Alligator mississippiensis: one gene and its partner. Each later gene encodes a partner of the first gene's protein in a complex. Links are inferred from orthologs where the notes say so. Each region holds a gene or a part of one and is shown on either strand. Other genes may lie near its edges.

What was found.
Region 2: the proteins of FLT3 (region 1) and FLT3LG are in contact, whole or in part, in a crystal structure (PDB 7QDP), measured with the Homo sapiens proteins. The link is inferred for Alligator mississippiensis from reciprocal best matches to the Homo sapiens genes FLT3 and FLT3LG. Residues at the interface, in NP_004110.2 of Homo sapiens: Asp180, His279, Gly280, Phe281, Gly282, Met300, Ser301, Thr302, Tyr303, Asn306, Arg307, Met309, Arg311, Ser333; in NP_001191431.1 of Homo sapiens: His34, Ser35, Pro36, Ile37, Ser38, Ser39, Asp40, Lys44, Lys87, Glu99, Asn102, Thr103, Glu104, His106, Phe107.

Annotation. Positions count from the first base shown.
Region 1 is NC_081824.1:427,830,591-427,834,500, forward strand, and holds the start of FLT3 (receptor-type tyrosine-protein kinase FLT3), read left to right. Parts: upstream 1-1,285; 5' UTR 1,286-1,321; coding exon 1,322-1,376; intron 1,377-3,910. UniProt on the Homo sapiens protein: Tyrosine-protein kinase that acts as a cell-surface receptor for the cytokine FLT3LG and regulates differentiation, proliferation and survival of hematopoietic progenitor cells and of dendritic cells.
Region 2 is NC_081828.1:39,620,415-39,624,324, reverse strand, and holds the start of FLT3LG (fms-related tyrosine kinase 3 ligand), read right to left. Parts: upstream 2,863-3,910; 5' UTR 2,332-2,862; intron 1,847-2,331; 5' UTR 1,790-1,846; coding exon 1,736-1,789; intron 1,628-1,735; coding exon 1,517-1,627; intron 1,224-1,516; coding exon 1,170-1,223; intron 1,078-1,169; coding exon 934-1,077; intron 742-933; coding exon 591-741; intron 1-590. UniProt on the Homo sapiens protein: Stimulates the proliferation of early hematopoietic cells by activating FLT3. Synergizes well with a number of other colony stimulating factors and interleukins. Required for the development of B cells, and dendritic cells (DCs).

The DNA of each region.
Region 1 (3,910 bases):
GTAAAAGTGGTATCGTGCATTTGGAAGGCACTCAAGCATCAGTCTTTAGAGCTGGATCCGCTATCTGTCCTCACTGCATCCAGTAGTCAGGACTGAAAGTTGGTCATGGTAGCTGAAAGGGTTCACTTGCATCCCCACTAAAGTTGTTAAAGTCCCACTGTATTATAACATGGGAGTCCTACTCAGGACAAGTAGCTTTAATTAATTAAATGCATCTCTTCAGACATAGCCAATAGAAGTGCCCTATACTGGTCATTTATGTATGTAGTACCCTCCCCGCACCATTTCATGTATGTTGGGAGGACTGAGTGACAAAGCATGTGTAAAAAAAGATCTGGGAATGAGATTTAGAGACTAGAACAGGACTACTATGAACTAACAACAAGGAGCTCTTCACTCCAATCTTGGATGAGCCCCTTACTCATGTGGCTTTTTTGTACCCTAAACAACGTAGCTGTAAAGCAGGCCACAATAGGTGCTCACAGCTGCTGTAGCTAAGTTTGAGCTTTCCTGTGGAAATTAATAGCTCCCCTCCATGACATACAGACAAGCCTCAAACTGTTTCTGTACTCCAGTTCCAGCTCCACTTTCATTGGTAGCAAATTTCTCTGTGACACTAAAAACGTAAGTCTGGGTACTTCTCACTACAAGATCTGAACTAAGGAGGTTTGCCAATAGTTACAGACAAACAAAATCTTAGTCATTTAAAGGGAAATACACTCTTTTCCTCCAGTGCTGGTAAATGCCACTGTATATTCCCATGAGGCATTTAGAACCACATTTGGATTTTTTTTATATTTCCCTCTTTCAGGCTGATGCCACTGTTTAAAAGTAGCAGCCCACTGTCAAGTCCAAAAACTTAAATGAACTTTCAGCCATTGCCTGCATATAGAAGTAGCATCTGCTTCCAAAACAGGAATCAGAATTACATAGGAAAAAAGCCAGTTCTGCCCAATCTGCAATAATTTATCCACATTTATGAGCTATGAATTAAGAGAATGTAAGCAACAGAACTACAGTAGTAGTAATAGATACCTAGTCTGGCTTGCGTAATACAGTCCTTTCTGCAAGGATCCTGACAGCAGAAGGAAGAGGTTCCCTGACCCCAAAAGAGGCCTCTTATTCTCTCCCTTGTACAGCCGTTTCCTTCAGGTTCGGTCTCGGCTGAACACGTCCTTGGGCCCTCAGTTTTTTGAAGAAGTGGTTTTATTGTGGTTCAGTGACGTATGCCTTGAGAGCCACCTGCAGCACTCGTTTCACTCACTAGGGTCTCAGGATTGCAGACTTCAGTCCGGCAGGGCAGCTTCTAGTACCATCAACCATGAGTGCACACCAGCCCGGCACCTGTGCTACCAGAAACCCACTTCGGTTGCTTGGTAAGGGCATATACAGTATACAGTCTCCTCTGCTCCCTTACTACTTAGTCCTTTCTCATTCCTACATTCCAACTTTCTCCCCTCATTCTTTTCTTCTCTTTCCCTCTTTTTCAGCTCTTTCTTTTTCTTCTCCTTCTCTTTCTCACCTTTCTTTTCTCTTTCTTGGGTGCTAATCTCTCTTATCTCTCTTTTACACCTCTTGTGTCTCCTACCTTCCCTAGTCCCTTTAGGCTTTTGCATCCATATATATAAAGGCGGGGGGAGGAGGAGGGAGTTCAAACTAATGTTTTAGGTGTTGTTTTCCAGTGTAAAGAATGTTAATGTTGACCTACCCTGATTGTCTTAGGCAATATAAAAGCAATTTTTTAGATAACTTTCCTATGGAAAACCCTGGCAATAAGCTCTAAAAGTGAATCTGTGCATTTTTTGCTGTTATATTGGGTAGGTAAGTTTTGTTCAATGGTGAAAATGGAATAACAAATGCTTCTGGTTTGTTCATTGCTATGATGACATTCCACTTTTCATGACTCGGTTTCCCCAAGAATATACAAATTCATAAAGATTTAGCAGTTAGGAGAAATGGAGACCACAGTTATTCTGAATAAGATGCCCACTGAGGTATTTTCCTTTGACTCTAAAATAAGCTGCTTGCTGACGTAAACATGTAGTTTGTTAAAAAATCAGGACTGAAAACTAGCGGAGGAGGGGGGTTCTGACTGCCATATATGACTGGGAAAGTCACTTTGTGGCTTAATTTCACCAAGGGATAACAACTTTTGTGTGCTTCACAGAACTGTTATTAGAGATCCTCATCCATGTTTGTAAAGCCCTGATTTTGAGATCTTTGGAGGAAAGATGGAGTAGGAATAAAAACTCTTCTTTTGCGATATCCTGCTTCAAATGACTCTAATGAAACTGCTACTGAAACATATCATGTCAAAGATGTATTTTGGTGCATTTTCTTCTTAGAAATCAAAGGATCTAAACAAGCAACCATTGTGATAGTCTTAAATAGCCCACTGAAAAGTAAGCATTAATTATCATTGTCTGTATTACAACAGTGCTGATAGGCCCTCCTTGAGATCAGGGCCACCTTGTGCTAAGTATTGCACAAAGGCAGACTGTGCCCTGAAGAACTTACCTTCTAAACAGACAAAGGGTGGGGGACAGGAGGACAGTTGTTCTTGGTTGTATTGCTGCTCATTGTGGAGATGTTTGATTTAGCCATTCAGAAATGTAGCAGAAATCAGAAGCCTTGTCATTTCTATGGAAATTACTGGCTTCATACACTTATACATACATTTTTTTAATACAACTGTTTATGGGTTTAATGAGAGATACTGACATTCTTTAAAATGAAGTAACATTTTCCCTGAGATTATGTCAAGGTTCTTCATTATTCCACTGAGATGTGAACTGAACACAAGTAATGTAGAAGATCCTAGGCTAACAGACTTTATCCAGCTGATATAATATTGTCAGCAGAAAACCATGCACTTATCCAGAAAAAGAAAAACTACATTGAAACTCTCCAGAACTGAGACAAGTATGACTACACAAAGTTAAGGCTCCCTCTCTGTCTTTACTTATAGGTCTGCAGTTGTAAAAATCTCAGCACAAACCATGTTTTACACGTGTTTATTGCTGCAAAAGTCAAGTATCAATAGTATGGAGAGAGATCCTGGTAACGTTATAAACCAGCGCTTGTTTGTTTCTCTTACGGTTTTTCTGGCCACCCTCACCAGATGAGATGTCTGTGTTTACAGCTAATTTACCTAGCGTGAAAATAAACCTTACTTTCACAAACCCTGCTGGCAAAATACAGGGAGGTGATGGAATCCAGCTCCCTTCCTCAACCTCATACTTTAGGTTATGACTGGAAAAGCATTCTCTGCTCCTGTGTATCACTTATGGAGATGCATAATCGCTGATCTTGAGGCTGTCTCTAGTGCCAAACTGAACTGGTTTCTTGTAGCTTTACCAATAGACCTCTCCATGGTGCCCCAGTTAAGAAGATTATTTATAAGGAAGTAGTGCTTGTGCTGGCCCTCATTAAGGTGCATTCTGCCTGTAACAAATTGGCTTGTTTCATTTATCTGTGTAACATTCAGTTTCTACCACAGCCATTCCAGTCTATTCCAGTCCTGCAGAATCCTACAGCTACAGGACAAGTTAGAGAAATCCAGTTATGAGTTTCTGGCTTAGGTTAAAATCCTGCAATGAAGCCGAGGGAAATTTTACTTGAGTAAGGACAGCAAGTTCATGCCTTAACAGGCTCTAGACCAGACTGCAATTTGTCTGACTGCTAAGAGGCAGTAACTCAAATCAGAGAGCACATAGAACTCAAAGCTCAAGTGTGCCAGAAATGTGATTGGAGTACCAGAAATGAATTCTCCTGAGAATGGAGAATTCATTTCTGCTTTTTAAACAGATAACAGAGAAGAAACTTAAGAGCTAGCTTTCTTCTGAATTTTCAATCCCACTGCAACACAAAGATTATCTTCTTACAAACCTACCGATACACATTCCACAGC
Region 2 (3,910 bases), on another chromosome or scaffold:
ACACTCAGGGAGGTGGTGGAGTAAGAGGTGATAGGAACATCCTTGTGGTGGGGGGTGTGGATTTGGGGGGGTTCAGTGTGGGAAGCAACTTCTCCCAGGTCTCTGAGAGGTGCAGTTGATGGGGGGGGGGGCGGAATCTTAGGGTTATCTGAAGTAGGGTCAGAGGAAGGCTGAGGGGCTGTGGAAGCTCAGTGGGGCTGGGGGTCCTGCAGTTTGGGGACAGAGAAATGGGGGGGGGGTGAGGGCCAGGGAATACCAAGCTTAGTTTGGTGGGGTTCAGAGTCTAGGGGAGACAGGGGTAGGGCTGTAGGGGGACAGGCCTCTGCAGGGCAACGAGGTAGTGGGAGTGGGTTCTGGGTGGTCCGTGGCCTGGGGTTAACTGTGGGGTGGAGGGAGCAGGGGGAGGGGCTAAGGGCTCAGTGGGGTAGTTTTAGGGGGCAGGAGGATCAAGGAAGGGGTTCATGGGTACTGAAGTTTGGAGGTCCCAGATTTGGGGGTTCAAGGTGGGTTGAGAGCTGGGGTACTGGGCACTGAGGTCTGGGGGGCCCAGGATTTAGGGCTGGATCCCAGGCTACCGAGGCGGGACGTACCTGTCCGGCAGCGCACATAGGTGCAGTTGCTCATCGTCACAGGCCATGGCTCCTGCTGCCACCGTGTCTCCAGCTCTCCCATGTGGTAGCTCAGGGCGCCCAGCAGCTGCGACACATTGGTCTGCCCCTGCCGTGTACAGCCTAGGGGGTCCTGCAGAGTGGGGCGAGGGGGTCACAGGCTCAGCCACCCCCCAACAGGCACCCACAGCCCCTGTACTCCCTCTCTTCAACCAAACAACATGCCCCCAGCCCCACCAATGGTCCCCAGACCCCCTCAAGCTTACTAGTGCCCCCTCACAACCCCACTGAGGGTACCCACCCCCCATGCCTTCCCCTGCCCTACACTGATGTTGCAGTCCTGGAGGAAGTGGATCTGTCTGGCCACGGTCTGGATCTTGGGGTTCAGGCTGCGCCCTGCGACCTGCTCCATGTGCCTTAGCTCAGCCGCCACAAAGTGGATCACCCAGAAGTCGTAGCACCAGAGGTCCTGGAGGGGAGAGATGGGGAGATGAGATGTGGCACAGGATGAGGAGGGAGCAGGCAGGGAGGTGGGGGGCATGGGTGCCCCCTGGATCTCACCGGCTCCAGGTTGGAGGGCAACAAGACGGGGTAGTCCAGGAGCAGCAGCTGGGTCTGGGGAGGGGAAAAAAAGTGTGGGGGGGGTAAGTGGGGGGGGGACTGGGAATAGGGGGGCTGCTTGGGAGTCCCTCTTCACCCTGGCAGATTTGGAGGCTCCAGAAGAGGTGAGCAGGGACACCTGGGGGGTATGGGGATTGGGGGTGCTGGGAGTGTGGCAGAAGGGGCCCCAGGTGGAAGCTGCCCATGACTGGGCTGGGGACTGGCATGGGGGTGTCAGAGGTGACTTTGGGGGCGGGGTGGGGGGTTTCTGGAAGGAGAGGGAGCTGTGGTGGGGCCCTGGCTCTTACCAGTTCTTCTATGTCTCTGGTTAAGGTGGTGCTGAAAGGATCGTGTTCGAAGATGCAGCCTTGCCCAGGGGGGGCCAGAGCCAGCAGCAGCAGCAGCAGCAGCAGGGGAGCCTGTTGAGGTGGAAGGATGAGCTGGGAGCACCCCTCACCCACGACCAGCCCCTCCCCTCAAACCTCCCCAGGCTCATCCCATATCCTCTTCCCCTCCCCACAACTTACCACAGAGGCACTGGGCAGGGACTGGGGGTCCGGGGGTGCATGGCACCAAGTCATCTCCACGTCAAGGGGTGGGCGGCCGGCATGCCGGGGGGCTCCCTCAAGCGGGGGCAGCTGTGGGGCAACACAGGTCACTGGTTAGGGGGCTGGCTGTTGAAATGAGGGGCACGGGCCTGGTTAGAGGGACAGAGGTGGGAGAGGAAAAGGGGCTGCGGGTCAGAAGTAAGGGCCACCAGCAAGGCTAGGGAGACGGGGCTGCAGGTTGGGATTGACGGGCACCAGCAGGGCTGGGGAGGGGCAGGAGGTAGAGGGCCCGGGTGGGGGGGGCAAAGATAGGCTTCCAGAGGGCTATTGGTTGGAAAGAAGCGGGGGTGGGGGTAGAGACAGGCCTAGGAGAGGACAGGGGCTGCAGGTTGGGAGTGAGGGGCACCAGCAGGGCTGGCAAAGGGCAGACCACTGAGCACTGCGGGTCGGGATGAGGGGCACGGGCAGGGCTTGGTCGGGGGGAGGGGTATGGGGGCAGGACACACTACCTCCTCCCACCCCGATCTGCACCCCAACCCCACTGGCAGGGGCCGCGGACTGCCCCCAGTTCTTACCTGAGCAGTGGGGGGGGGGCTCTGGGGAAGGGGGGGCTTCTCCGAGCCCCCCCAGGCGCTGCCGCCCGCTGCCCCAAGCCAGGCCGCCACCGAAAGTGAAAGTGGCCGGGACCGGCGGGGGCGGAGCGGGCGGACCCCCCGGGCTGGGGGGCAGGATCCCTGCACGGGGTGGGGGGATCTGGGTCTGGCTGGGGCAGAGGGGGGCGATGGGGTCCTGGCGCCCCCCGCCCGGCTCTACCTGCCCTCCATCCTCCCAGCCCTGCCCGCGCCCCACCTAGCCTGGGCAAATATTGAATCCGGCCCCGTGCCGGGCACTGGGCATCCGGGATCGTGGCCCAGCCCTGCTCGTGCCCCGCACCGCGGACTCGAAGCCCCCTGCCCCCTCTCCCCAGCCCTGCCGCTGCCCCTCACTCCCGACCCGCAATCCCCTGACCAGCCTGAAGACTACATAGGTGCTCCCTACCCCCCGGGGAGAAGGCCGTGCCACGGGATGGGGGCACTGCCAGAGAGGTTGTTCACTACTCCAGGGGCCTGCACCCAGGGCTGAGGGGAATAGAGTCTGATGTCCCCGAGGCCGAGTGCCAGGGTACAGCCCACCCCGCAGTGACCCCCCCCCCTTCTCCCAGCCCCACTCGTAAAGGGCTGGGAGCAGCATGTGCTCGCTGCGGTCTCAGCATCCTGTGGGTCCCAGAGCTCAGAGCGTCTCTATGGAAACCGTGGCCGGATGCCCCGACCATGTACAGCACCTTGCACACAGCCGTGGGGAGGTGGCAACCTGCTGGGGGTAGGGGGGAGGGGGTGGAAGGAGCAGGAGCTGGGCCCTGGGCTGGCTAGTGCCCCTTGACAAGCAGGGGGAAGGACAGGGGGATTGAGTCGGGGATTGAGGCAGGGATTGAGGGATTGTCTAAACCCCCAGCCCAGGAGCAAACCCAGGCATTCAGGTGCCAGCCCTGCCCCCTCAGCCACCAAACTGATACACTAGTTTCCACTCCCCCCCACCCTCCCATCCCAGAGAGAACCCAGGCATTCAGATTCCTACCCCCCTCATCCCCCAGCTCTCCCCAGAGCTGGGAGAGAACCCAGGTGTCCAGGCTCCCATCCCATCCCCATGACCCCCTCACCCTCTACATATAGGGCCCCTTGGCCCAGATCCCCCTCCCCCACCAGGGACACCCTCCCTACAGTCACCCCACCCAGGGCCAGTCCAACCATTAGGTGAACTAGGCAGTCACCTAAGGTGCCAAAATATGGGGGGGGGCACCAAAATTATATGCAGAACAAAATAACAGGAACATCATTCTGAATAAGAGCCCTGGCCAGCTATGGCTCCACCTTGGTCTAAGACCTTTGGTTCTGTAAGGGGAGAAAGACCTCTGAGAAGATCTCAAAAGTAAAAGTTCATTCTGGACTTATTTTCCTCTGTATTGGAAGTGGTGGGGGCTCCAAGGTACACAGTCTGCCTAGGATGCCAATTACCCTTAGACTGGCCCTGACCCCCCACCCCTCCAAGGCCCCCCAACCCCTATATCACCCACTGAGATACCCGCACTAGGCCCCCTGTCCATCCCAGTGCCCCCAA